Linked DNA regions of Daphnia pulex. The protein of the gene in region 1 purifies or fractionates together with the protein of each later gene. This does not show direct contact. Links are inferred from orthologs where the notes say so. Each region holds a gene or a part of one and is shown in the gene's direction. Other genes may lie near its edges.

What was found. Proteins that work in one complex are often made in the same cells at the same time.
Region 2: the proteins of pre-rRNA-processing protein TSR1 homolog (region 1) and RRP12-like protein purify together in Homo sapiens (affinity purification with mass spectrometry; 3 studies listed by BioGRID and IntAct, counting the BioPlex papers as one, with this or other methods). This does not show direct contact. The link is inferred for Daphnia pulex from reciprocal best matches to the Homo sapiens genes TSR1 and RRP12.
Region 3: the proteins of pre-rRNA-processing protein TSR1 homolog (region 1) and protein LTV1 homolog purify together in Homo sapiens (co-immunoprecipitation; 4 studies listed by BioGRID and IntAct, counting the BioPlex papers as one, with this or other methods). This does not show direct contact. The link is inferred for Daphnia pulex from reciprocal best matches to the Homo sapiens genes TSR1 and LTV1.

What each region holds. Positions count from the first base shown.
Region 1 is NC_060018.1:6,274,246-6,284,194, reverse strand, and holds pre-rRNA-processing protein TSR1 homolog, read left to right. Parts: upstream 1-3,329; 5' UTR 3,330-3,504; coding exon 3,505-3,616; intron 3,617-3,683; coding exon 3,684-3,954; intron 3,955-4,020; coding exon 4,021-5,066; intron 5,067-5,132; coding exon 5,133-5,350; intron 5,351-5,425; coding exon 5,426-5,689; intron 5,690-5,752; coding exon 5,753-6,062; intron 6,063-6,118; coding exon 6,119-6,309; 3' UTR 6,310-6,330; downstream 6,331-9,949. Other genes in the region: 3-hydroxyacyl-CoA dehydrogenase type-2-like, read left to right, coding at 1,364-1,372, 1,593-1,649, 1,718-1,825, 1,890-1,974, 2,043-2,332, 2,426-2,644; uncharacterized protein LOC124188662, read right to left, coding at 7,966-8,401, 8,478-8,640, 8,738-8,913, 9,000-9,078, 9,148-9,217, 9,283-9,401, 9,476-9,949. UniProt on the Homo sapiens protein: Required during maturation of the 40S ribosomal subunit in the nucleolus.
Region 2 is NC_060018.1:13,078,457-13,088,578, forward strand, and holds RRP12-like protein, read left to right. Parts: upstream 1-4,233; 5' UTR 4,234-4,378; coding exon 4,379-4,603; intron 4,604-4,667; coding exon 4,668-4,905; intron 4,906-4,964; coding exon 4,965-5,361; intron 5,362-5,418; coding exon 5,419-5,491; intron 5,492-5,574; coding exon 5,575-6,963; intron 6,964-7,024; coding exon 7,025-8,806; 3' UTR 8,807-8,871; downstream 8,872-10,122. Other genes in the region: transmembrane channel-like protein, read left to right, coding at 1-7, 369-943, 1,107-1,313, 1,453-1,515; solute carrier family 13 member 5-like, read right to left, coding at 8,991-9,089, 9,167-9,315, 9,389-9,587.
Region 3 is NC_060017.1:1,277,687-1,287,541, forward strand, and holds protein LTV1 homolog, read left to right. Parts: upstream 1-3,972; 5' UTR 3,973-4,126; coding exon 4,127-4,129; intron 4,130-4,215; coding exon 4,216-4,386; intron 4,387-4,457; coding exon 4,458-4,625; intron 4,626-4,694; coding exon 4,695-4,788; intron 4,789-4,861; coding exon 4,862-4,994; intron 4,995-5,062; coding exon 5,063-5,255; intron 5,256-5,320; coding exon 5,321-5,479; intron 5,480-5,551; coding exon 5,552-5,747; intron 5,748-5,816; coding exon 5,817-6,034; intron 6,035-6,104; coding exon 6,105-6,218; 3' UTR 6,219-6,266; downstream 6,267-9,855. Other genes in the region: dmX-like protein 1, read right to left, coding at 6,700-6,813, 6,876-6,977, 7,036-7,259, 7,332-7,359; uncharacterized protein LOC124197216, read left to right, coding at 8,587-8,727, 8,835-9,238, 9,312-9,855. UniProt on the Homo sapiens protein: Essential for ribosome biogenesis.

The sequences.
Region 1 (9,949 bases):
CATCACGCCGATGGCTTTTTCACTCGTTCTGTTTGGTTTCACTTTACGTGGAATTACCCATAAAAAAAATGTCCGTGACGCATGTCGGCATGCGGAAAGTATGTCGGACGTGACTGTTTGATGTGAAAAATGCACAATGATCGAATTCAACGCATTGTAGTAAAACATTTAATGAATAAAAAGAACTGGATTTATTAATTCTTGCGCATTGGTTTTACACGACGAGTAACTAACATGCAGAATTCGAAAAGATTAACAGCGTCGTAAATTTTATTCCAGAAAATATATTTTCTACGGTGTACAAAAATTTGTGATATCACGTTGAAGGTTCGCGGGGTATCGAAGGATAATTAATTCACGCATGGCATATCTGAATCAAGCATACAATAACAAGGCGGCTCGTTGGGAGATTGCCCTTTCATGCAGTGATAACCTGTTCCGCAACTCGGTGAGCACGCTTCCGGTGGGCACAAAAATTTTGCTATTCAAATTGATAAGAATACAGTTAAGAAGAAAACAATGAACAAGTAGGAACTTGCCTGCAATTGGTGTATGTCGACAAAGGGATTTTTGACTGGTAGTCTCCACAGCAATGGCGCTGGCCATTGCAGTCCATATAGAAGTCGCCAAAAGCAAAATCATGCTTGTCATCACTGAGATCTTCATTTTGATCTGTAAGGTTTTCAAATAAAGATTGATAGAGAAAAGTGTGCTGCAAAGAGCCTTTATATGCATCGCAGATGCACACTAAAGTCGGTCGTTCTCGGTCGTTGACTCCGAAATATATAAAAAAAATATGCCAAAAAAATATTGTGTCTTAGCAAATATGCAGGTATTCATCTCTTTATGTGACCGATGTGACCGTTATTCTTGGATTTAAGGTAGGCTAAAGATGTGGTTGGTGTCGGTCTTTTCCTTAGCAAGTTTTGAGACAAGATATTTTTTTTTTCTAGCCAAGGGTGAAAGGCAGGCGCAAAAACATGTCGTAAACTGCCAAAGTTTCCATGGGGAGAAAGTGAATCCCTAAGGAATATTATTTTCAAGAATTTCAAATTTACCGATGTTAACTGACAGCTGTTAATCCCAATGGAATGGGGTGGGACACTAAGCTAAGGATTATTCTACATTTATAGCTCATTTTTAACTTATACCTGCAACCTGCATCTATCCAAATCGAAGGGATGACAACAAGACCACTTTTTCGTCTTTTCAAAGGGAAATCCATTTTTGTTAAATGTCAACGTCTAACTTTCGTAAGGTCGTCTGCTGCCGTACTCGGATCCTTCTCTTGCTGTCTTGCATATCGCGAGGAACAGGCAAAAGGACTCGTGTTTAAATCGCAAAATAAAATTCGTTTGATAAAATGTTGAAAGTAAGTTAAATAACATTGCATTTGTATATGGAATGGAAAATTAAATGCTGTAAAGTAAATATTAAAACAATTTTTTTTCAAATTATGTCAAGAACCCTATATAGTTTTGAGTTTCTGATGTGTATTTATATTACATGTCCGGTTTTCGTTATATGTTTCCCTTTATCGTCACAGAAGACAAATATGGATTTGGAGTAATTGAAACACTTGATTTTAATAGGGAGCTGTTGCCTTGGTGACTGGTGGAGCTTCTGGCTTGGGCCGGGCAACTGTTGAGGTATATCAGAACTGGTTTTCTTGTGAATTTACTATCCAGCCTTGATGTATAATTGTATCATTTGATAGAGAATTGTCCGACAAGGTGGAAGGGTAGTCTTATGTGATCTACCAACTTCTAAAGGACAACAAGTAGCTGCTGGCATGTCAGAAAATGTTATATTTGCCCCAACAGATGTAAAGATAATGTTTAAGAAGTAAAACATAATGTTCAACTAATAACATGTGATGTTCCTAATAGGTTTCTTCTGAGAAAGATGTAATGAATGCTCTTTCCATGTCAAAAGAAAAATTTGGAAAACTTGATGTTGCAGTAAACTGTGCAGGTAATTTTCATTAAATTTAAAAGAATTTCTGTTTGAATAAAAGTTTAATAGCTTGTTTATTTATTAAGGAATTGGAGTTGCTTTCAAAACATACAATTTTAACAAAAATCTTCCACACAAACTAGAAGACTTCATTAAAGTTTTGATGGTAAACACCGTGGGAACTTTCAATGTTATTCGCCTTTCGGCAGGATTAATGGGCGAAAATCAGCCCAACGAAGACGGTCAAAGAGGAGTGATAGTCAATACTGCATCTGTAGCTGCTTACGATGGTCAGATGGGTCAAGCCGCCTATTCTGCAAGCAAAGGAGCAATTGTTGGAATGACTCTACCGATTGCGAGAGATCTGTCGTCCCAGGTAATTTAATAAAACTAATTAACTGGAGGTGTAGAGATAAAATGGCTCAAGTTAAAACTGGTTACAATGTTAACTAATTATTATCATTTCTAGGGTATCAGGGTTTGTACCATTGCACCAGGATTGTTTAAAACTCCTTTGCTCGAGTCTTTACCTGAAAAAGTGCAGTCATATTTGGCAAAGACCGTACCATTTCCGCAACGTCTGGGTAAGCCAGATGAGTATGCAATGATGGTTGAATCAATTATACTCAACCCAATGATGAACGGAGAAGTGGTTCGTGTTGATGGCGCTATCCGCATGCAACCGTAAAAAAATCCAATCATTTAAAAACTAAACCAGAGTAAACAGTAATAAGTTATTGTTGTAATTTGCAATGTTCAATGGCTTATTCTTTAGTAAAGAGCTTTCGTGAGATAATACAAATCTTTATATTATTATTTTGTATTGAACGAACTTTTTTCGTGAATTGCTTCCAACTTTTGGAACTTTGTTGAGACATTTTTTTTTTATATGGTCACTTCAGTTTTCTAATTTAATTTAATGTTTAATCGGGTTTGGAGATATTCTACCAGAGAGGACGATTGGAGAAACGATACTTAACTGCTTGGGAATACAACTGTATAAATTAAAAATATGCAACCTGCTGCAGCGATAAAATTGATAAAAATCCTGACTTCTAAGGAGGGACAATAGCATTTACTGGTAGAGGAAAAATGGCGCCTCTGACTGGACAAAAAGATCACAAGATAATGAAAAGGGACTAAGGAACACTTAACGTGCGCTGGGCATGGCCGCTGACCCGCTGCGGCTGCCCGTTTGGACAGCGTGTCAGCTCAGCACCGCATGCGGACTTGCGGTACACGTAGTTACAACACAATATAGTAATATTATATGTATTACAATAACATGAATATATATATATTAAGTTATTAACATATAATATTATTCGCACGCGTTAATAACTTGCGGACTAACAAGATGTAGCATGTAGTAGCATGTAGTAGGGCAACTTCAAATTGTTCGTTTACGACTTTTGCAAGATTTAGCGTCGTCTGCACTGAAATATTGTGCCGTCCGCGAACTCCACGTGTGTAAAACGTCTATAGTACCAAGTGAACGGTTACATTTTCTTTTACTATATTAAGTAATTAACAGTAGTAAATAGTGGGATGGCAGGAGGTGAACAGGCTTCACATCGACCCGGTCTTCTAAAACAGCAAAATAAATCTCATAAAAATGGGAGACATCGCAGCAAAAGTGAAATTGACAAGAACAACAAAGGTAAGCAAATATTTGTATTTTATTTTACTGGCGTCATTTTCAAACTAACTTAGTGTGGTAATTCTAGGACGAGTTCATGTCAAATTAGCATCAAAAAGGAAAAATCAAGAACTAAAGCGGGATGAAAGAAGAAGGAAAGCAAATCAGATAAGGTCAAAGAAACGAGAAGATGTCCTGGCTAAAAAGAGGGCAATAGGTGGGAATGATTCAGCTCCTTTTCTGTCTGCAATAATCCCACTAGGAGAATCAGCAAACATTCAAAAGTTGTTGAAACAAATCAAAGAGTGTGATGCTGATGCAAAAGTGGAAATGACTGGCTCCAATGTAATAAACATCAAGTAAAGTGCCTATAGATATATATATACATATATTTGTATGTTGCTAATTTCTTTCTTGTTTTTCAGTGTGCCACGTTTTCGGCAGAACTTCAGTTTGATAGTGCCTCGTCCTGGAGATCTATATGCAGCACTAGATGCTTGCAAAGTTGTTGATAATGTTGTATTCATAATATCACCTCCTTCTGACACTGACAGCTGTATGTCTCATTCAACAAGTAATGAAGGGCCTTTGGGTTTTGACAGCAGTGGTGAAGAGTTGTTGTCTGCCATCATGGCACAGGGGCTTCCTTCTCCAATTTTTGTTGTTAATGACATTGAGACCATTTCATTGAAGAAACGAAATGATTACAAGAAGCTTCTTATGAAACAGCTGGATCAGATGGTGCCATTAGAGAAGCTTCAAGTGATTGAAAATGAAAGTGATGCTCTCAGACTGTTGCATCACATTGGGTCCCAGAAACAGCGACCTATCTATCAAAGAAATATGAGATGCCATTTTCTTTGTGAAGAAGTGAACTTCAAGCAAAATTCTGATGATCCTACAGTCGGAAGTTTGATTGTCGATGGATACGTACGCTACCAACCCTTAAACGTGAATGGATTAGTCCACATACCTGGATGGGGAGACTTTCAAATGGAGCGAATCGAAGTCAGGAGGGAACCCGGAGAATTTATTTTCCTGGAAGAGGCCAATCCCGCTCTTCAAGAATCACTGAAATCCGAAAATGATCCTGATCCTATGAACGGTGAGCAGACTTGGCCTTACCAAGAAGAAATGGAAGGCCAAACTATGGAAGCGGACAAAATTGAAGATGATGAAGAATCGGAAAAAAAGAAACGAGTACCAAAAGGAACATCAGAGTATCAAGCCGCTTGGATCAAAGACGAGGGCGATGATAAAAACGAAGAAAACGATGAAGAAGAAGAGGATGATAGTGACGATTGGGAAGATGATTACGAAGAAATGTCTGGAGATGATGGAAGTGAAGAATCACAAGAAGAAGCTGAAGAGGATGAAATGGAATCAGTAGACAACGAAGGTGGAGACACGGATGTGTACGATAAAAAAGTTAAATTTGCAGATGAAGAAGAAGAATTTAAAAAAATTAAGGGTATGTTTTTTTTTCTAAATTAACCATGATTCCATCAATTCCAACAAAAATGTGTTGACTTTACAGAAGCTCGTGAGGATGAACTTTTCCCTGACGAAGTGGATACGCCACGCGACACATTGGCTAAGGTACGCTTTCAAAAGTATCGTGGTTTGAAATCCTTTCGTACATCACCTTGGGATGCCAAAGAAAATCTACCCATGGATTATTCCAGAACTTTTCAGTTCCAAAATTTTCCGCGGACTCGAAAGCGAATCTTGAAAGAAGAACGAACTGGAGCAAAGGTATTGTGACTTTTATTTTTCTTATGCGGTTCAATTTGATAAAAACTTGAATGCTCTAAAATTACATTTTCTTAGCCCGGATGGTACGTGAGAGTTCACGTTAAGAACGTGCCCAGCCATTTACCAGCGAGTCTCCAATCCGGCTACCCATTGACATTAGTTGGCATGTTGCCTCACGAACAGAGAATGAGTGTGGTTAATCTTGTTCTTAAGAGGTTCAAAAATGCACGGGATCAGCAAGCGATTCCGTCAAAAGAGCGACTGATCTTTCATTGCGGTTATCGGCGGTATGCTGCTGCTCCCATTTTTAGTCAGCACACTGCAGCCAACAAGCATAAGGTAATGTTTATCTTTTATCTAATTTTTGTATGTACTGTTCATCAAGGAGTTTTCTTTGTTCAGTATGAGCGCTTCTTTCGGCCAGAATCAGTTGTAGTAGCAACTCTTTACGCGCCAATTATCTTTCCATCTGCCTCAGTCTTGGTATTTCGGGAAAAGAAGGACGGAACTCAAGTAATGATAGCGACTGGATCGGTTTTATCAGTAAATCCTGATCGCATTACAGTTAAACGTGCCGTTTTGAGTGGAGCACCATTTAAAGTTCACCGCAAATCTGCTGTCCTGCGTTTTATGTTCTTCAACCGTGAGGACATCGAATGGTTCAAACCAGTTGAATTAAGAACGAAATATGGTCGACGAGGTCACATCCGAGGTTTGCATAGATGATAACTTTCTTTTTACTATAGTTATAAACTTTTTAAATTTCAGAACCACTTGGAACGCACGGACACATGAAATGTGTATTTGATGGCCAAATCAAATCCCAGGACACAGTAATGATGAATCTTTATAAACGCGTGTTCCCTAAGTGGAGCTTCGATCCTAACGTAGCGTCTCCATCTCCTTTGTATAATCATGAAGTAGAAATGGAAGATGCTGCCAATCAATTAATGGTATAAATAAAATTTGATTGGACCTTGTCCATATTTTCTTCTGTTTTTCAATGTTGGTTAGTTTCTAAACCTTCTGTCTTATGATTAGTCTTATGATCGTTTAACACTTGTTTAAAGTTACTAATTGCTCGATAGGTTTCAAATGAGCCAATTTTGCTAGTTTTTGTTACATGCTTGAGAATTAATTTCACTTTAGGAAATACTCTGAGTGATGGGACAAAATCTAATTTTTCTCATCTACAAACAATTTTCTAAAACAATAATGGAAGCAATAATGGAAGTTTTTGCAGTTTGTGTCATATTCTGTAGTTTCTGCGCTATGCGCTACTACCGTTTATTAGAAACATGGATGATTTCGAAGTTATTGGCTCCATCTAGTGTATTGTAGAGGTTGCACGGAAAGGGTAAAAAGTAGCGACGGTCAGTCGACATTGAACGATCGGTTAGACCCAATGTAGCACAATTTAAAAGTCGGGATCAGTCTTGGATTTGCTGTATGCCGTTCAGCTTCTAGAATACACATGTGTATTCTGGGTTGAATCCGATGCACATGTCTATTGAGAAAGTTCAAAGGCATACAGCAAATCCAAGACTGATCCCGACTGTTAAGTTGCATCCATTTATAGTCACTGCCCGAGTCTAACTGATCCCTATTGTGGCGCGTCGTCACCAGGAAAAGTAGAAACAGTCATCTGACCGTCGCTGCTCTTTACCCTTCCCGGATGGTGTCCGGTCGCTGTTTCCGCTACAATACCATTAAAGCGCTAGTCTGAGTCCTTTGGCAATTTCCTAATTAGTTTCTTGTATACTAGCTATATGCTAGGTGTAATAAGAATTTCGTTTTTTAAATGGTCACAAGGATTCTTTGTCATATACTGTAAGAGAAAATTCATTCCGCATCAGGTGGTTGAGTTGCATAAATTGGAAACACCCCTTTACTTTCCCCGAAAGTACGTCTACTCGTTGTCTCGTTGATTGCCTGATGCTCTCAAAATAAAAAAACACTAACTATTAAACATTTATTTCAAGCAATCTGAATTTTGAGCTGTTATGATTTTGTCTGTGTCGGGTTGGTTCGAATATTTGAAAGAAGAGAATGAGGGAAAAGAAAACTAGAGAAAGATGTAAGGCTAAGACGGCAGGTATCATGAAAAAAAAGAGGAAGATAATCATATTGGCCTCAAACAGTAACAGAATACCCTAAATTTTGACATTTTATTTTTAAATTAAATACAGATTTAAACACATTTAAAAAAGAAGATCAGTTCTAGAAGACAACTCACGCGCGCAGAAAGGGATGGAATTAGATACGTAGATGGGTAGACATTTTGGCACGTTGAACAATTAAAAATGTGGTTCAAGAATCATAAAAAAATTTAATAAATAAATAAAGCAAGCTCCTCCACAGAGAAAATGAAAGAAGGAAGTTGGACAAATTTTTATGATTGAAACTGTTATTTAGTAGTGGTTAAAAAAACTTTCCTATAATAACATCTTTGATAACATCGCTGAATTAATTCAATTGAAATATCGTACGTGCGTATTGCACCTTTCAATGCAAAATTAGTTTGTCGATTGTTTTAATCATTTTTGAACCAGATTTTCTAGATCTATTTTCATTTGTTGATTTTATATATTTCTTAAATTGTGTTGTCTGTTTCGCTATAAAATGCTTATCTCGTCTAACTCAGGTTCATTGGTACTCTGCTCTTCCGACGCAGAGGATGCGACGAGTGTTTGAGAAGTCATTGCGGAAATTCGCCTATTGGTTAATTGTTCAGTTGAGACGGAATGGCCTCCATCGGTATTGCCTGGAGAATGCTGGAGAGCTACATTAGTCGGAGAATCTCTCTTGAAAATTCTCTTAAGGCGAAGCATCAAATAGTGACGAACATCTCGTTGTAAAACAATAAAAATGATAAAAATGACGATTCCTCGCAATGCGTTGAGCAAATTGCCGATTTCGAAGAAGTATCTTCCTACGGAGTTGCTTTGAAAGATGGCTTGAGATTCGGATAGATACACAGGCAGCCAAGCAGCAAGTTCAAACACCCATGGGACTCCGGTGATAAAAAAGAGTTTCAACGCCATTTTAAAACTGTTTCAAAGAAAATCAAATTTCATCAACATAATTAAAATATAATTCATTTAATAGCACGATCATTATTTCTTACTCTTCCTGCTCCTTTGAAACTTTTTTGTTGCTCCTTATCGATTGTTTCCTCCTCCAGCAGTGCATCAGGTTGGGATTGAAAATCAAGGAGAGAAAACATATCATGTCGAGAACTAGCAAGGTACCAACAGGCCCATAAAAGAAAACCAGTGCTGAAATGCCATCTAATTTAAAAAAAAAAAAAAAAAAAAAAAAAACATTATTTAGGCTATCTACCATATGGTTCAACCGTTCAACAAAGTGGGCCAAGCAAATACTAACCATGAGGAAACCAACAGTTAAGAAGACCGATATTTGGATTGACGCTGTCAGAAACACCAAGCTCCGTAGATTGGAATTGTGTAATCGCCATAGCAATAAGAGCTATGATGGGAACGCCCCATCCGAATATCGAATACGGGATGAATAGCATGTCGTTGGACACCTTGAATGCGCCACTAAAAATGTTTTTGAGCAGAGTTTTTTGTGAAACGAATAAATTTACTTGGTCGTAAAAATTGAAAATTATACAATTTTGAATTACGTGAAAATTCGGTAGTAATCAAAACAGTATACAGTCAACCACGCGAATGAAGCTATCGATGCGCCATAAATAAAATAACCTGTCCATAAACAAAATTTCGGTCTAGATTCGTTTTACGAAGGAAATATTATTGACAGTAAAGTCATACCTATGGCAACGCAAGAAGTTTGGATTGGCGGAAAATACTCTCGTTGAACCATCGCTAAGCAAATGAACGTCTAAAATCCAATAAAATTTCAGAACTGTGCGTAAACTTATCATCTAAATAGTTATTCAAAAATACCAGAGACAGAGTGAAGACGTGACAAAGTAGAATGCGGCCCGTCAACATCGTGGCCATAGTCGGAGTTCTCGTTCCCCTACTTCCTGCTCCAAATCCGGTCGTAACTAATTTGGCGGAACCTATTTAACCCAAATAAAAAAAGAGAGGGTTTTAATATTGTTAAATGTGATATACATGAATGAGTTATTATTACCTTTAGCTGGAACAAAAAAATAAATTATTAATGTGAGTATTAAACCCACAGCAGAAATGCAGAGAAGGACGGGGTAATGAATAGATACGTGGTGTTCCTGTTTTGCGCAATGGAAAATTTGTGGCTGGTAGGAAACTTCTTTCTCACTTCGGAAGCGTACAAAATCGGCACAAAAAAAATGGGGTTTCAATTTAAAGTTCCAATAATTTTTTGTTTGTAAATGGATCAACAGTGACAGTTCATTTTTCGGATTAACCTCGAATTTTATTTCCGTCGAGGCGTCATAACTAACGAAAGGAATTAATCGAATTAACTCGCAAGAACCCGACGAAATGTTTGAGATGAGATTGGTGACAATTTTATGTTCATTCAAGAAATAATTGTTCAAGGCTTGGGAAATAATCCGCTCTTCACCCGATGAACCTTCTCCCAACTTTAGTAGCTGGCAAGTTTCCGATTCGTCCATCACGTATC
Region 2 (10,122 bases), about 6.8 Mb from region 1:
GACAAACGTAAATGTAAATCTGATTGGGTTGTTTCTTCTTCTTGATATTAAAAATGCAAATTCTATATACGGCGGATTGTCAGAGAAATAGGAACTGCTGGGAACATGTAGTTTTATAAGCCTCTTATATATTTTTTCCCCAGGAAATCAAATGGGGAAAAGTCACTTTTGCGTTTGCCCTTTTTTGTAGGTGGAATTTGTCCCCAGTTTCTAAAAATCCACCACTGGGAATAAAAGCGGGAAAATCTTTTCCTTTGAAATTGTATTTATACCAAAAAGATGAAAAATGAATTTCTTTTCTTTCGGGACTGTCGTTATGATCGGCTAATGAATTTCTTTTTCTTTTGATTTTCTTGGAAAACTAAAAGGCGGAGGAGGAGGGATGAAAGATGGGCTGCTGTTGCATCAACGCGCAGGAGCGTCGGCAGGAGCGTCGGCAGGAGCCCAGCCGAGAACTGCTGCTCCTGTTGGGATGACGACGGGACGTCAAGTTGGCCTCAGACGTGGCCAGCAACTGCCACCAGTCAAAGGATCACGAGGAGTCACCGCTGCTGCTACCACGACTGAATTTGACGGTGCCAGCGATTTGGATATTAGCGACTCGTTGCCGCACGACAGTCCCGTCTTGAACGGCCGCGCTGCTGGTCATCATCAGCCGCCCTTGCCAGGAGCAGCAGTGCCGGCCAGTCCGCCTCACCACCAGCCAGTCTATGCCTCCGTGGTCAAGAAGAAGAAGAAACCGAACAACAACATCAACAGTCCGCCGAGAGTAGACCAGCAACTAGCCAGTCATCAGCCGGACCAGCAGGAGCCGCTTAACAAAATGACGGACGCTCCTAGATCGCCGGCCAAAATCCCACTGATCCGCATCAGCCAGACGGAGAGCGTGGAGAGAGCCGAAAGGAATCCGCCCACTCCCATGACGGATCCGCCATCGCTGGAGGTAATTTTAACAAGAAATGAATTAAGTTTTCATCATTTCCTAAATTAATTGCCCACGCTGGAATTTCATTAGCTGCTCATTTCCTCTCTATGCTTTGCTCTAAATAGTCTTAATGAATTAATTAATCATATTATTGCCTGCGGGATAATAAAAATTAAAAAAGGATGGGACGACGACGGGACTGGTTGCCACGTCGCCCACCAAAATTCAGCACGGCGGCGGAGCTCTCAATTTGATTTTGCAACGGGCAAAGGAGAGACGGGCGCTGGCCATCAAACAGCAGCCCATCACTGTCAGCGAGTCGACGGCCGATTTGGTGCTGAACATGGAAGAAACGGCCCGCCGAGCCGACACTCCCGATCACGAAAAGGTATTATCATTCACTCTCGGCTCCTAAATCTCAAATTCTATTCCGCCCAGCAGTAGTGCAATATCATTTTCTTGATGTTCAACATATGTTCTATCTCTATACTTTTGTCTTTTTCCCGGAATGATCCGCAATCTCTCAGATGGATGAAACTTTGGATTCGATTTCGGACGAAACGCCCACCGTCACGGAAAATCAACAATAAAAAAACCAAACACACAACCAGATATAACAAATATATATCACGTGAAAACAAGGAAGAAGAGAAAAAAATGGGCGGCCGTGTGGTATCGACGAGGGAACTTTCGATCGATAACTCACGGCGACATCCGGAACGCGCAACACAACCCCCCCGAAAAATTGGATAAGAAAAAGCTATAGTACTACCAGAATATAAAATCATTAATCTTTTTTTGACGTATCATATTGTCTTTGTCGTGTGTTGTACACGTATCAATTTCTACTTCTTTTTTAATCATCTCCTTTTTCTTGTTTGAAATTCCCGCCAAAAATTGATTTCCTTCTTTTATTGGTGTGTTGGACTAGTCATTGGCTCTTGTCTCTACTGTCGGTTATTGCCACATTTTTTCCCGCTTTTTCACTTTCATCTTTTTATTCTTAAAAAAGAAATTATTTCTCCGCACATGACAAAATACAAAAATTTCAAAAATTTCAAAAAATAAGAGAAACATTTCGATTTTGATCCGGAGCCCGAAAGGATGTGCGCGTGAATGGCGCCGGAATTTGTGGTGCGGATCGTGGGGTATGTTATGTCTCAAATAAGGCGCCAGTGGGAGAGGATGACGTAAACTAGGAGCCAAAGGAGCCAAAGGGCTGCCGTTGCGAGAAACAAGCGGATTTTGACGATCGATTCAAAGTCTTGAGGCTCTTCCATTTCTTTGTGTCGCGATGCTGTGGCGGCTGCCAACGACTTCCGGTCGGTGCTCATTGGTTGGCCGGCAGTTATTAGGACCGTGTTCATTCCACTCATTTGATGCTGGATCGTCTTGGCGTCGCTTTCGCCCGAGCGCATCCGATTTCGACCTGTTGTCTTGGATCCAATTTCACTCGAATAATTCCGGCCATATACCGAATCAATATTAGAGACAACGCTGGATGGGAATTGAACTCTTACCAACGAATGGATTGGTGGTGCGGATCCGTACTGCCTCAACTCGGACGCATCGCTCACGAGTGTTTGCTTCTCATCCGGCGGAGGCGACGATTTCCCCATTCAACACGCAATACAATTGGCGACGACTTTGTGTGTACACTAGAAGAAATAGAGAGAAAAAAGGAGCGAATGATCAATGCTCCAACAGATCTCTCACGTCAGTTGGAAACAGTTGACGGCACACATTTTGCGGTGTACCGCTCGGACTGTCACAGACAGACACGACAAACACACATCATGTCTCTTTCAACAGCTGTTGCACATTAGGGACCACACTGCGAACCAATCGAGAAATGTTATTTGCACTCGACTGGGCGGATTTTCATCGTCTCGATTCTTTTCTCAAGTATTTCTTCGGGCGAATCGTTTAAATTACAAAAGGCCTTCATTTATATTAGATAGGAGACAAGTTTGACTCGTCTATTTATCCGACGCTTGTTGTATAGTTGATGATGACTCAATAAAACCAGTCACGACCGCTTTTGCTGCTTTAACCCGCGTGATACTTTGTACCTAGGCCACCACCACCAACTTTGTCGTTCTATTGACTATGTGTCGGCTGAGACATTGTCATCTCAAATTGGACGACAGGAAGAGCCTTAATGAACTTCTTTCTCGGCGACTCTTTTTTCCATCCATCCATCCATCCTCGTGATGCCAACTCTTACATCTTTCCATCCCGCCGTATAATAAAGACCAGCGTGTGTAGCTATATACAGAATTTGGAGAAAGCCTCTTTTCCTTCTCTCTGATTGGTCTCACAGGATTTCTGTGAGTAGTGGGGGTTGACTTTTTCCAGTCAAACTTGTGTGCAAGCCTCGTATTAAAGCCTTATAAAGACTAGCTGGTCTCTCACAGTTGACCTGCAAATCAATTCAACATCATCATCATCTCTAATATTAATAAGGACCTTTTTTTCTATTCAACGTCAACTATATTTATCTGTGTGTATATATCATTAACCGGCCATTCATTCGCTATAGACGACCGTTGTATACCTCGCTGGCCTTCGCCCTGCCCGTCTTATTGTTGTTGTTCACGAATGTCGAAAGATCATTTCCGCTGATTCCGAGACACACCGGACATTCTTGATTACCCTCCTGCCCTTTATATATATATTATATCCATCTTTCGGGTGACTATATACATGATGCAGTAGATAGAGAGTCCGCCTATTTGTGTCTTCCAACTCTTGATTATATATAACATCAGCTCCTCCTCACTATGCCGACAGTCGTGATCACATCCGGCGTGGCTTCGGCGGCTATCTATCTATAAAAGAGAAAAGTTAGACTACATGGGCAGACTGTGGAGACGTCCAAGACTCTAAAGAATAGATATTACAGTTTAATACCGAGAGAGAGAGATGAGTATGAGGAGAATCGATCGCCCAGGGAAACAAAGGCAAAGAGAGAACAAAATAAAGGTCTAATAGAAAGAGATTGCGTGTAACCCGCGGTACTATGTAGGCTGGCTGCTACACACATTATATTGCAGACTTTTGCGAACAACCCGTCAAGAAGACAAACAACACAGACTTTTTGGACCGTTATAGATATACCAACCGATCAATTCGCATCGATCGGTCGTTGATTGTGCCAATTACTTTGATGCTTTTTTTTAAATTATTTATAGAATAAAAAGGAAATACATCTGTTGTTTTTTTCCCTTTTTCTCTCGGCTGTTAAAAACATTTCCAAGCGCACGGCTTCTTGGAAAAATGGAAAACTGCCAACGTCGCTGAGTCTAGCAGACGACAGATTCTTTTTCAGTTGGTTGACGACACACGTGCTAGTTGATTACCAAAATCACTGGCAAGTTTCGCCAGAGTCAACCAGTATAAAATTGCACGTAGTGTATTTGACGACGGTGCTTTTTCTGAATACATCACGCCATGGGCAAATTAAAAACTCGTATCAAGGGGCCTGGAAATAAAGGCAAAAGATGGGCAAAGGGACAGAGTAGCAGCTCCAACCCCACAATCAAGAAACATCGCGAAGTGGCGAAAACGAGGTTTTTCCAGCCATTTTTATTCGGGCCACCGGCTGGTTCTACCCAGAAAAGTGGTTTGACTGAAGAAGCTTTGAAGCAGCACACTTATGCATCTGAATCGTCAAAGGTAATTTTGATCTTTTGTTTTATTTGTTCAAGTCATGTTGATTAAAATTTTGTGTGCCTGACAGCCCCATGATCCCTCTGCTGCTGTTGAAGTCATCACTGCACCCCCGTCAGTGTCCCATGGAGATTTTGATGATGACGAAACATACTCAGTCATCTCTGGAAAGACATTCCGATCCAGCAGCTCAGTCAAGACATTTGCCACAGGGTTCTCCAACTGTAGCAATGTGTCTTTCAATAAACTACACAGAGGTTTCACGCCAACCTCATCTCTTCATAGAGAAATGTTGGCTGTTCTTGCAGGTATGCCATTTAGCATATGATTTTAGTTTTGCCCAATTATAATTTGTTCTTTCCTGCAGCTGTTTCGGAAGTCATCAAACAGGAAGGAGGCAAAGAAACTGACACGGAATACTTTGCAGTGTTGATGACGACACTGGAAGTGGCCGAGACTAGCGAAGATTCACTTGGCGCTACCCTTGCACTTTTGGGTATGGTCATCAAACGAGTTCCCGCCAGTGTTCTCAAAGTCAAGTTCTCAACGTCAGCCAAATGTCTACTCGACTTGCTGGGCCGATACATTGAAAGTGACAACAGCCTTCTGATTCGGTCGCTGGTCGGCTGTCTTGGTGTTCTACTTCGAAACCAGGATGTTTCAGCCTGGTCCTCTTCTTCCACCTTGCAAATTTACGACGCATTACTGACATTTGTGTCCAGCCCCAAGCCACAGGTTCGCAAAGCTGCACAACACGCCATTTGGTAATTTGAAATAGCGTCAAATATTTTAGTACATAATTAATTGTTCTTTTTTTACAGCTCTATCCTGAAAGGCAGCACCTTTTTGACTCAAGATGAAGACGCTCCCATATTGCACCCTGTTGCATCTCGGGTATGAATATAGGCCCTACTAGTAGTTTTGATTTATTGTTTAAAGTAATTTTCAAATTTGTATTTATTTGTTGTATTCATCAGACGGGCAAATTCTGTTTGACATTTATTGAAGAGCACGGATTTGGTAGCGAACCATCGCCTCTACTCCATCTGTTGAACCTCTTGAAAGAAATTGTTGCCGTCTTGCCCCAAAGCGAAGTCAAACCTTTGTGTGAATCCTTGCTGAAGCTCATGACACTCAACAACGTTCTCATCTCCTCTTGCGCCATGCAGTGTTTCCACAGCATGTTTATTTGCCGACCCAGGGCCATCACGTTGTCTGCCGATCTGAACGCTCGTCTCATCACTGCCCTCTACGACTACCAACCCTCTGCCAACGACACGCAACCCCTGCGCGGATGGCTGAGTGTCATGACCCAAGCACTTCTCAATCTCGGCCGACTGGACTCGCTCCTTTGCGTCGGTCATCTCCCAAGATTCTTCAGCGTGGCCACAGTTCTCTGGTCCAGCGACAGGATGGAAGTGGTTTTATCTGTCACTCCATCGCTGGCCTCGCTCATCAGCCAGGGTCTGGAACCGGCATTCAATCAGCCGGCGAATATGGCCGCCGTCACATCGGCAGCCGAGAAAATCACTAAAAGCGTTGAGCAAAGTTTGAATTATCAAACGGTCAAAGCCTGGAAGTACGTCATCCACTTGTGCACCACCTTGATCGAAGGAGTAGGCAAAAGCCGTCCGGAAATTTTGAAAAGTTTGATCAAATCGCTGGCCAGTCTGCGCGTTTCGCCACGTTTCCCGCACGAAGCTGAAGCGGATTTCGCTATCGGCAAAGCAGTTCGTGTTTGCGGCCCTCGATTCCTCTTGAAATGCATCCCGCTGGGCATCACTGGCAAAGAAAAGAATTCCTACGAATTCCCATACAGTTGGCTCCTGCCCATTTTGCGTGAAAACATTCAGAACACGGAACTCGGATTCTTCATCGAATACTTTTTGCCGCTGGCCCAGATGTGTCGTGCAAGAGTCCCTCAATGTAAAGAAGATCAGGATCGGGTTGGCTTTCGGATATTTGACCTCCTCCAGCGTCAAATGTGGGCCCTTTTGCCGGGTTTTTGCAAGTGCCCGACAGATGTTGAAGTTTCCTTCAAACAGATTGCCAAATTGCTGGGCCAAGCCCTGGCTGATCGACCAGACATTCGAATGGACGTGATGGCCGCTCTTCGTCAGCTGATTATTCATTCAAAGACGGACGACAAGATTCGGGTCGAGGTGGCCCGTTATGCCAAGAATTATATTCCTTTGCTCTTCAACCTGTTTACCACCAAATCGACCACCGACGAGGAAGAGTCTCAACGCGAATCCGTGTTCCAGACGACGACCTATTACCTGCAAGTGGCCGATACAGAACTGCTCCACTCGCTCTTTGATAAAGCCAAGGAGAAATTGACGACAGCATCGGCCAGTTTGAAATCGGTAAATGAAATAACACCAAATTTTATTGAGCCAAATGTCTAAATGATTTATTATCCATTAGGAGGACAAGGCTGTAGCGGAAGAGAACCAATTCATCTGGGAGTCTGTTTTGGCCTTGTTGCGAGCCTTGGTGGTTTACCAGGACCCGGACCGTGTCGAGAGTTTTGTCCAGCTCGTTCTACCGTGGATCATGGGCAGCGAGTCGAAACCCCAGAAGAAAGCCTATCGCATTGTGGAGGAAATCGTCGGTGCCGATGAGGCCAGTCCGTGTGGCCGTCACGTCCGCGCCAGTTTGAGCCGCATTGTCAAATTATTTACAAGCTCGAGAGATATCGTCAAAGCACCGAGTCGGGCCTCGAGGTTGCGCACTTTGTCTCGCTTGGTCGCTTTATTGGCCGAGCAGCCGTCAACTGCACCCAACCGTCGCTTCCTGGTCGCTTCTGCTTCAGAGGCGGCATTAGCTGTCAAAGGAGTCGGCGAAAAGGTCAAAGCCGCCGCTTTTGCGCTCCTCGTCGATGTCGGACGCATTTTCCAAAAGTGGTCCTCTGATCCGCAAGTGGCACTCAGAGACTACGTCACTAAACTAATGAAGGGAATGTCCAGCGATGACGAGGCTCACATCGCCACGGCTGTCACATCCGTCACCTACGTTGTCCACGAATTCGCTTCCAATTGTACAGAGGAGCTCATCGACACTGTCCTGGAGAGCATCTGCACCTTGTTGGTGACTGGAAATCGAGATGTCGTCCTGGCCTGTCTCGTTTTCATCCGCATGTTCACCGTCACCGTCCACTCGCAGCGACTGCCTCTCTACTTGAAGCGGCTCATCACCGGCCTCAGCTCGATGGACGAGGAACTCAAACGGACTTACCTCATCAAGACGCGCGATATTTTCATCCGGCTGATCCGTAAATGTGGAGCCGATTTGGTCATGAAACTCGTCCCCGAGGATGACACTGTCCTCCTCAAGCGGTTGAATAACATCCGCAAAATCGAAGCGCGGAAGAAGAAGCAAAAGGAAGAGCGCAAAGCGGCCGGAAATGAGGAGGAGGAAGACGATGAAGACGAGACGGAAATGGCGACGCAACCCAAGACGATGGAACACGTTTTGGCCGACAGTGACAGCGAACTGGAGAATGATGAAGAAGACAAGGACGTGCGGAAGAAGACGCCCAAGACGTGGATTCAAGAGGACGAAGGATCCATTGTCGACTTTTTGGATCCAGCTGCAGCCAAAAAAGTGTCATCGACTAATCCTGCGCGCGCCATGCTGGCGCAATTGACGGCCGAGAAGAAGAAGAAGAAGGAGAGCATCTTCAAAACAGCCCCCGACGGTCGAATGATTATCGATGATGGTGGCGACTCATCCGATTCCTCTCAGGAATCGGACGTCGACTTGAGCAAAGCGCTGGACAAGATGGAGGTGGACCGCAAACGTAAAATCGACGACCACGAATCCATGGTCGACGAAGAAGACGAACCTTCGTTCAAGTACCAAGCGGGTGGATCGGGTATCCATCGACCGGTTGCGGTGGCCGTCAAGCCATCATCAGCCAAGCGAACCGTCCACAAATTGACGACCAAGCAGAGAGCCCAGCAGAGTCAAGAGAAGGTGAAACCGGCCGATTACGGAGTCGAATACCGTAGCGAAAAGGCACGTGGTGATGTGAAGCGCAAGGGCCAACCTGATCCGTTCGCTTACGTTCCGCTGAGCCGCAATGCTCTCAATAAAAGGAAAAAGGCGAAGATGAGTGGTCAATTTAAGGGACTGGTGAAGGCGGCGCGCAAAGGAGCCTCGGTAGGTAGCAAGATCCGGGGTAAAGCCAACAAGGCCAATCAATAATTGCGTTGTTTCCCGCCCCGATGATGAAATGGTAAATATATCAAATCAAATTTCTCCAATTCAAATTCGGTTTTTTTGTTGTGGTTTATTTTAATCGACGAAATCGCACGTGAAATAATTTGACATTTAAAAAAGAAAGAGAGAGAAGAATTTTGAAACAAACAAAAATCAGGTCGATCGAGTTTTAGAGTGGTGAAATGTCATTCAGGCTTTCGTCGGAGATGCACGTCGCGCTTAGGTGACTGCAGACGAGTCCTTGATTGGCGTCACACGGGCAGAGAATCTTTTGGCATTTTGAGAGAAAAAGAGAAATTTGTTGGTTTGTGATTGAGAGAGAAAATGGAATGAAATTTCAAAAACCTGATAAGCATCTTTAAGGAAGATTTCAAGGCCTCCAGGGTAAGCCAGCGTTCTATTGGTTATTGAAGGCTCGTTACTGCTGGTCGGTCGACAGTCTTCACCTAAATTCAATAATGGCGCGCACCACGGCGTACTGTACCGCATCATACCTGTTGTTCAATTTACAACGTTTTAATATTTAATTTGATGGAAGAGAATCTTAATTTTTTTTTCAACGATTACCAAGTAGGCAGCACCGGTTGGGACCACAATCTTCGTTGGATCGGCAGTCTCCCATCGCTGAATGGCTGGGAAGAGGTTGTAATATTCCAGCCAACACCACAGTCGCCCAGCAAACGAAAAGTAAACCGCACTCTTTCATCATTTTTACGACAATGACCGGTTCGAACTGACGGCACTGCGTAAGTATTGATTGGGGATTTTATGTCGACTGATTGCTAGCAAAACGTTGGAAGACGTTTTTACTTAAACGATTCCGGCTAAAAGGGGGGTCCAACCTGGGTTCAATAGACTTAAATTGACTTGGCACGTCGGACAAAAAAACAAGTTCGTTAACTCTTAATGATAGGAAATCGTCGGTAAAATAATCGGAGCAAATGTTCTTTCTGTTTTTGTTGATTTCCCACTCACGTTACTGTGACTCGACTCGCTGCGTGCAAACAACTAAAGACTGAGACTTGCCCGTGCCGCTGTTTTAAGACAGTGGCCCGTGTGTGGATCCGTCCGGTTGTCCCGCCTCTCCTTCTTCCGCCTATTGTGGTCTCAAACCGACGAAACAACCCCCAAGTTGCGTTTTTGTGCTGCATCATTATATTGGCCACCCACAACCTTGTATATTTTTATTCATGCAAATCTTGTTCGTACAGCCTTTTCATCTGGTTTCCGGTTGTTCCATGACCAATGCAATCTAACGACGAGGAGGAGCTGCTGGTGGAATTCCCCCGTGATGCAAGGTG
Region 3 (9,855 bases), on another chromosome or scaffold:
CTTTAATCCTTGTTGACGACAAAAGGTTTCACCATGCATTTCGTGAAAGTTCTTTTCGGGGATATCCCGACCAAATATTTCTAAAACAACACAATGAGTTGGCCATATCTCAACTGAACAACAAACTACAGCCAAGCGGATCACTTGCGAAAAGTATATAGCTCTGCCAATATGAGGCGAAATCGCGCAATCAAAATGGCAACTTTCAATTCTCTTGTTTTTATTAGCGCGGTTAGTCTATTTGAAAAATCGGCAAAGCCCAGCAGCTCTGTAAAGACCGATTAAAGAAAACAAGAATAGAAAGAAAATCCCCGGGCTCCTTGAGTTGTATAGTAATCGCTCTCTATAGTTAGTCTGAATTGATTTTTTTGTGACGCGACTGGAACCCCATGACGGACAGTCGGAAGACAATTAATTGCTGTAGTTTCACTTTCACCCATTGCCCGGGGCTCTCTCTGTGTTTTCATTTTCCATTACAAGAAATGAGAGAATGCGGCTGAATGCCTTGAATGACGAGGAAACTACTCTTGCGTAGCCAACTTGTGTTTGAAAGTCCATTGTGTCGACCACGACCAGGAGAAAATGACAATGTGATGAATGTCAAAACAATAACAAAGAAATAGTCCCTAAAATGACGACTGGTTCTCGACAGTACTCCCGCGGTACTTGTTCTCGCAACCTGTTGCGAACGCGAAAGCAAAAAAAAAAAAAGCTGAAGGGAAGTCGTCTTTATATAGAAACCTTATCGCGTCCAGCAAGGAAATGGGCGAACAATTGGCGATCAGTTTATATCGCGCCAGCTAATCAGGACGCCGAGTTCGTTTTTAGATTTCTTTTTTGGCACTTTTCTCGGAAAATCTTCAATTTTTAGAACCATCAATAAGGTGAAAACTTACCTAATCGCAACATGCTGTATTCCTAGACGGATACAAAAGGGGGGGGGGAACACCTCTCCGTGAGCGAAAAAAGAAGAGACAATATTCCGTGCGGAAATGCGCTTGTACAACACTCATAGGTAGGAGGACAAAAGTTTGGACTCGGCCATTTCAGCCGAGTGGATCTCGACGACTGGACAATTATCGAACTCAATAGCGAAAAACTCGATGAAACAAGACTTGTTTTTCGTTCAAGGTATCACCAGCCCATCATGCATGCACAGACAGCCGCAACAGTCAAGCTCGACGGACGCTAATGTTTTGCGAATGACCACATAAAAAACGACCCTGTACTGGCACTCGATTCCCCCAATGTCAAGCCTCGACACTTCACACGCCAACAGGTAGGATACAATCCACTAAAACAATTTGATCGCGGATCGTCGCTCGTTTGGAAACGAAGTCCAATAAAACACTGGCCTGTATACATACCGAACGTCGACTGCTTTGATGAGATGATGTTTCTCTTATCAGGACTGGTGGCGGTCTCACAATCTGTCGGGCCAGGTGGTGCCGGAAACCAGGGCGAACAGCAGCAGCTAAACAAACCCATGAGGGTTCAATGCATAGGTGCTACTTTAGCAAGACACTGTCGTCAGGAGCAGGTGAGCTGATGTCCTACTAAAAAACAGAACAACAAAAATCAACCCATTCGGTCTTCCCATGGTCCCTTCCGCTAAGTCCGTACTCTATCCAGGTGAAGAACTGACTGGCGAGAAAGAGAAATTTTGATGGTTTTTCGACGTCGTCGTCGCGTTTTCACTTTTTTGTTTCGTCGTGAATATTGCGCTGGCGTATTTCCATCGTGTTGAGCTGCATTACGTTCGTTTTTTTTCTGTTTCTTTATTTTAATGGTCCTCAACTGTTGGATCATGCTGGGATGCTCAACGGAATCAAGGACGTGCGCTACAAATGAAGGGGAAAAAAGTGCCAGTTTGGTCCGGTTCGATTGTATTACAACAGTTGTTATTCGCGTATTTCTTCAGAGTCACATAGCGAAAAGCTTACCGTATGATATAACGTGACAAACGATCTATATACGTATATATACATTAGATTGCTCTTTGTAGAGTCAGACCAACAGAACAGAAGTGAAAGTTTTTTCGTGAGATGTATCTAAAATTCAATCGTGTCATTGGAGCTCTGCTATGCGCGTCGTCACGTTTCTCTGCCGAACCTTGGAGTCTTAGATCATCACACTGTCTAGTACATAGGAGATCAAGTCACGGTCATCTCACAGAAATTATCATCAGCAATCTAATAAAAATACAAACAAGTTACGACAAAATCCCGCTGTGCAATGCACGAAAGCGAAGTTAACAGAAGGTTACGTAACAAATGTCGATTATATATACGGCATCACTTCGTTAACTAGTTGATACCATTTATTTATTAACTGTGTCTTGAAAGCTGAAAATACTTCACTTCATTGGCCATGAAGTTCAGATCCCTAATTGGTTCTAGACTTCTTCGGAAACGGCTTCCGTCGCAAATTTGCATTCGGCTATTTGAATTATTGATCCAGTTTAATGAGGCATAAATTTTTGAAAGTCTTTCAAAGTAAAGACGGACCCTGCGCTCCATGCGATAAATACAAAATATGAATGGAGCAGCATAGTACATTAAGAATGGAACAAATTTAACAAACATTTGTTTTTTTATATAATGAAAGAAAGTTGTTTAAACAAATGCCATTAAAAAACGATGACCAATTCTTCGGCTCTTCTCAGGCGTTACTTGGCATTAATTATTTCCTCGTCGTCCCTTTTCTTAGCTGTCGGTCACTTTATTCGGCTGCCAAGAAATGACTTTTATCTCTGAAAGGAAAGCGTAAGAGTAGCTAGTCACCACCGAGTTCTGTTCTGTCATACAGCACCACATAAATTAGTAAAAAACCACTAAGTGTACTGGTGTGGCTTTTGAAAATGGGTCGCTCGTATTGTCGTTAGTAATTCATAACAATCTATCAAAAGTGGTAAAAGGACTGTGTTTAGTTACCCGAAGGGTTACTGGTCAAAGTTTCGTTTGCAGTATGGTTTACATGGGCACCCTCAGTTCTCGTAACACTACATAGATGGATGCACTAGTTTTTGGCAATTATTGATTGTAATCAACAATTTTATTGCATTTCAATGGCAGTAATCGGTAGCTTACAATTTTTTACATCTATTCTGAAAATTTGGCTGCAATCGATTCAGGCATTTGATCAAACGGAGTTCTGGTTACTTTTTGACAGAATTTCAATAGCTGTTACAGCAGACGATAATACAGAGACATGTGACAGGGATATAAACGTAACGTGACAATCGACTACTATTGTATGATAGAATAGAAGTCACTGTATGTTATCACCGAACGCTATCAATCTCCAGTAACAGAAGTGCTGATAGGTAGTTACTTAAATTTAATTTTAACAAGATCCGGTGTGACGTGGGGTGGTGGGGCGAAGCCTCCGCCGCACCAAAGTCACGCCTTACCCCTACGCCGCGCCATATCATATTAGGTTTTTTTGGAATTTAATTTTTATTTAATGTTTGGATAGAAACATGCGGAAATATTCTTTTAATCTCTTTCTCGATTTTTGCTTATTACAATCTTCCGGAAACTAAGGGCATAAATTTTTTTTAAATGTTATTAATCCATCTTAATAATAGGCCTACCTTTATAACGGAATATTTTTATTATTCTATAACTATTCTATAACTCTGTCTTTGTAAAACTATACCAATACTACTATACCAACTAGAATACCCTTAACATTCCCTTCGGGTACCTTGCGGCGTACGTACGCTGCCTACAGTTTTTGTTCCACAATTAACTATTTTTCGTTCCGTGTAAACGCCATCTCTGTACGATATCCAAAGTTCGTGTAATAATTCGTTGAAAAATGAAATTATATCACCAAATATGATTGTGAATGTTTTTCGGCTAACCGTATTCGATTTTTTTTTACTCCACTCCACCACAATAACAGATAAATATCAAAATTTACGCCAAATTTGCAATTAAAATAAAACATTTTAAATCTGGCAATCACTTTTCACTGCTCTGTGTTGAGCAGACGAATGTACAGGTTTTAGAAGCGTGAAGGATTGTGGTCTTGTACTTGCATGGTACTTGTTTGACATTTTTTGTGAAGTCCGTTGATTTATTCAGTTAACTACGATTAGATCTATTTACACTATCGGAAAATGGTACGTGAAGATTCTTTTAGTCACATTAATAACTTTTTGAAAATAATACCATGATAACATTTCGTTTTGACATCTCTTTTTGACAGCCCAAAACAAAGAAATTTATAGACAAGAAAAATGCAGTCACCTTCAACTTGGTACATCGAAGTCAAAAGGATCCTCTTGCCGCTGACGAGCAGGCTCCTCAAAGAGTTCTAGTTCCAATTGCTCTGAAACCAGAAAAAAGTACTGAAATCCCTGCATCCTCTAAACCAAAGGTATGAATAAATCAAAATAAACAAATCAAAATTAAAGGGAAGTGTGATTTATAAAAGGTTTTAATATTCAGGATCCTGCCCAACAGAAAGAAGAACTAGCTAAACTTGGAATATACTTTGATGATGATTATAATTACCTGCAGCACTTGCGTGATGTTAAACAAACTGCTGAATGGGAACTGGCAGAAGATTCTAAAAATTCAAGAGTCTGGAAAGCACCAGTTGCCAGAGGACTTTCAGTAAGGATCTATAGGATTGGCTGTATGATAGAACTATTAGTTGACATTTTTTTTTCTATTTGTGGTTAGGACCATCCCTACAAACTTGCCCTGCCCTCCTCAGTTTTCCAATCAAAAGTGGAAGAAAAAGTTGGACTACTAAATAGAGCTGCTCCCCACTCAGGTTTTCATTTCTTTAAGCCTTGAATTTAATGTCAAAATTTGAGAAAGGATTTAAAAGTTACTGAAAATTGTAGGACCGAGGCCGGACTTGGACCCAGACATAGTTGCAGCTTTGGACGACGACTTTAATTTCGATGATCCTGATAATGAACTAGAAGATGACTTTATTGCATTTGCTAATGGAGTACCTTCTGACGTTGAAACAGAGTATGTTCTCGAGACAATTGAATTGAATTTGGATTTGCTTATATTCATTTTATAATTATGATTAATAGCGAAGATGATGGCTCCAGTGGTGACGATGAAGAAGAAAACGACGACGTATTGTGTGACATGCGAAGCGACTCAGGACAACGTTCACCCGATTTCAATGACGATAACAAATCGCATTTTACTGAATATTCGATGACCAGTTCAGTTATCAGAAGAAATGCCCAGCTCTCGTTACTAGACGACAGATTTGAACATGTATTCTGATTTGACCACTTTCATTTGATTCAAAGATTACAGTATTTATGGATTTTTATTTGTAGATGATGGCTCAGTATGACGACGAAGAAATGGGCGCTTTAGATTGCGAAGAGATCGAAGGACACATCACCTTACAAGACGATGAAGTGTTGAAATTGGCTGCGGCCTATGAACATGACAAGACAGAAGGCATCAGATTGGGTCGTGAAATTGGCAAAGTAGTAAGTTGCAGTTATCTTTTATTTATTCTCAGGTTGTGAATATCGACGTCATTCTTGTGAATCGAATTTTAGGCAAGAGACGAGGTGGAAGGAGCTGTAGAAAGGTACTTGGAAAAGTACCAGAGCGACGAAGAAAATGACAGCAGTTCAAGTGAAGAAGGTGAACAGGAACGTAAATGGGATTGCGAGTCTATCCTGTCAACTTACTCTAACATTTACAATCATCCTAAACTCATTTCTGAACCACAGAGTTCCAGAATTATTAAAGGTTCCAAGAAATTTAACTTTGGTGTCCATAAAGCTCAAATCTAATTAAAAAATTTCGTTTGATTCGTAGTGTGTCCCAAAACAGGTGTTCCCCTTAATGTCCTGGGGAAACCCGGTCTGACCAAAAAGTTCTTAGATCAACTCGATCAACAAACTGAAGGGACCAAAAAGAACTGTGTCGAAACGCAGTCCATCATCAGCACATTATCGACTATATCCATTCGACCAAAAGATGAAACACCAGAGCAGAGAACCGAAAGGAAGCGACTTGTAAAAGAATATCGTCAAGTAATAAGCGACAAATGTTTCGTGTGTCAGTTTTCACTATTAATGTTTGAATTTTATATTTTCTTAACAGGAAAGAAGAAAGGAAAAGAAAGCCAACTCGTTAGCTTTCAAAGAAGAAAAGAAACTACAAGAAAAACAACATATAAACAACCGTAAAAATGTTAGTGGCATTAAATTGTTGTAGTGGTTTTTTCAAACTTCGAATACATCGCCAGATGTACATTCACCACGACGCATTTGTTCGGAGGTTTTGGAATTATTTGTAAACGGTTCAATACATCAGCACACACGTAACGCATTTGTATTCCACTTGCTCGACCAAACGTGCTAGCGACATACAAAATAGGAGGAATGACATATTACCAGCCGTTCAGAATGTTGTTAGTAAAGTGTGTGGTGGTGTGGTGATGGTTTTAAGGAAGGTAAAGGTTTGGAAACATCGAGCGACGACGCTGAAGAGTGGAATGGTTGACAGGTAATAGCATACTAAACGTGACTAGCACAACGCAATCCAATTCTATAAGTAATCTGAACAGCCAGATAAATGACATGTATCAACGACATCCTTAAAATATTCAAGGGATTCGAGTAAATCGAAATATTAAAAAAATTTAACTAAACGTTTAGCCATTACCCGCAACTGCCCCCATTAAACATTTGTTTTTCTAGTAAAGAGTTGAGACAGCGGTTTCTCTACTCCCCACATAGGGTAATTGACGAAGCTTCATTGAACCATCAGAGCCACAAGAAAAGAGTCGTCCTGACGTGTCCAGATGAATCTGTTAAAAATTGAACAGCTATTCAGTAATTCCCACACATTTACAAAAATGTAAGGACATACTTGATTTACGCCATTTCCTTGCCCCATGGAACGGAAAAAGGATGATCGTGAATGTTCAGCAGGAAACGCGTAAAGTAAATGTTGTGTAGCAAGGCTCCAGACCTTTCAGTGAATACAAATCATTACAACTTCCATATTGGTTGATAAGAACCTTATATACCTTGATATCACCGTCAGCAGATCCAGTGGCAAAGAATTCTTCATTGGGATCTAACGCCATGCATTTGATCGCAACAGAAGAATCATGCGCAGTGAACTTGTGACGAAGTGTTCGTTGTCTCAAATCCCATAAGCAGACGATTCCTTTGCGGCCAGCCGATATCAGGAGCTGATGCTGAGACGCATAGAGCAAACTGGTGCCTCCGTTTTCGTGACATACAAATGCTGCAGGGAAAATCATCAGAAGAGTCGTTAGCGATATTCAAACCTTACTGACGTTAAAAGGAACCAACTTACAGTGAATAATTGCTTTGCGTTGGGGCATTAGGGTGTCCCATAAAACGACGTTGCGGGACTCTGAACTGTGACCGGTTGTGGCCAAAATACTCGATGACCCCAGAAACACAAAATCTGATGTCCCCTTGCTGTGACATTGATGTGACTGTTAAATGGTTTAAAAAAATTAATTAATTGCCGCAATCGATCACAGTCTACCCAAACTTACACAAAGGAAGTAACGGATGGGCCGTCATCCTTCTTACTCCATCCACCTTATGTTTCCGTAACTAGAAAAAAACAATAGATTGTTAACATTAATAAAAAGTCAGACTTGACTTCTATCAAGCCAAAGTCATTATTTAAACCACTGCAGATGAGAGAAAACGCCATTAAATTAGCATAACATTGATTTTTGGTAGAGGCACAGTGGCACACACAGTAGTAAAAAACAAGAAGATGAGACAAAGCAGAAAGAAACGCTAGCTGTTACCGGTGTTAGTAGTAGTTTGCTTCGCCGCAGCACCAGCTGAAAAAATGGCGGATGTTGCGAACCAGGGAATGTCAACCCTTTCGGTTGCAAGGTGTGGGAGGAGGGAACAGAGTAACGAATTTGTGTAGGAAGGGATAGCGAAGGATAGCAAGGAGGAAGGATAGCGACAGATAATTTTAAAACGAAAAAGAGAAATAGTCAGATGTCCAAACACATTCAAGGAAATGGGATGCGTGTCCAGAGGACGAGTGAATAAAAAAGAGATAAAGAGGTGAGGAGCAGAAAAAGACGGAAGTAAAAGCATAGACTACGAAGTAAAGACGGCGATCGGATTAATAAGATTATGCATTAATTTGGTTGAACCGATCACTTTTTGATTATTTGGTTTGTGTTATTGGCAGTTATAATTTCTTCCCTATATATTCCCAGCTTTTTTTCTGCTCCTCTTTCGTGAGCATATCGAACGTCAGCAAGGAGGGTGAAAACCTGCGGCGGTTTTAAAAATCATATATAGGTTAGACATGGGACATGGGTTAGATGCACTTCAAAATATTTTTTGAGAAACAAGTACAGTTTGGCAATGCTGCGTGAAGTGCAATAGCAACTTTGACAGTTGGAGTACTTCACGTGTGAAGTGCAATAGGCGCGACCATTGTAGAAAGGTAGAAAGCATGCCAAAAGTCCGAAACCCTCATAGCTTGTTATAAACGTAAGGTATTATTACAGTATTTGACCATTCTTAGTTCAACATATCAGTTTATTTGGATTTGAAAATAGAAGAAAATGTTAAATCCGGTAAGACGTGAGCTGAAAGCAAGCGATTACCTAACGGAATTTGCACCTTTCCCGAACGCACGAGTTCGAAACGTTCTCAAGGATTTCTGTTTTGTAGGAAATATTAGCGACGTGGATGAAGTGACTAAGGTATTTGCTCGCAACTATTGTTGAATATTTGATATATTTATTTTTAAATATGACTATTTATTGTTGAAGCAATCACCCATTTACTCTTGATGTTTTTCATTTCTAAGGTTCTTTTATTGGGTTGTGGTGATCTAAGAAATACCTTTCAAGCAACAACTTCCAAGAATCCTCAAAATTTAGAGATTCATCTCAACGATTTTCATCCTTCTGTCTTGGCTCGAAATATCATAATTTTGAAAATTGTGTCAGCAAGTGATTTCAATCCTGACAATGATGAAGATTTTGGTTTTCTGTGGGATGTGTGGTACAATATGGATTGGCCAGAAGAAACCAGGAAGAGGTTTCTTTTTGTTGTGAAGGAGTTGACGAATGAGAAATTACCAGATAACGTCTCAATTCCAAACAAAAGTCACCTTGATAAATTGAAGAGTTTGTGGAGTAACTGGCATTCTGTTTCCTCTAAAAACAAAACCAATTCTGAATCACTCTTGAAAAAAGTCTGGGGACAAAGGTAACTTTGGCTTTAATTAAAAAGGTTTATAATAATAGTGGTGCAGACTAATTCTTCCATATTTATTTATTAGGAATCAGTGCTTGTTGGACTTGTGGGATATCTTATATCCAGGACTTTTACAAGAGAAAGCAAAACTAAGCAATGCTGATCTCTTCACGGCCTCACTAAATGAACTGGCTAAGCTTTTTCTAAATCGTGAATATTTCATAGGATTGGCTCCTTTTGTTAAAAAAAAGATAAACGTTGAAGTGCTCGAATGCTACAGATACGGCAGCAGTCGCCGTCAAAATGACGAAAAACCAGTGTGCGTCAACCCAACTTTGCTGAATCCCGAGACCCATGATTGGAAAATCCTCTGCTTATCAACTCCGTTTGAAGGTTATCTGCCAATGGCAAAAGGAGAGCTTATTACTTCAGTTGAAGAAATCATGACCCACTCCTGCTCCGAAATACTCAAGAGATTGGTGTCTTCCTATCGCAGCCGGATTCCAACAGTCAAAATCTTTTTCCACTTAGAAGAAGCAGTGGAATTCTGCTATTCAGACGCAAACAAGTTTGACGTCATCGACTGCTCTGATTTCGTGAGTCATGTTGGGTTAGCCAATTTAGTTGTT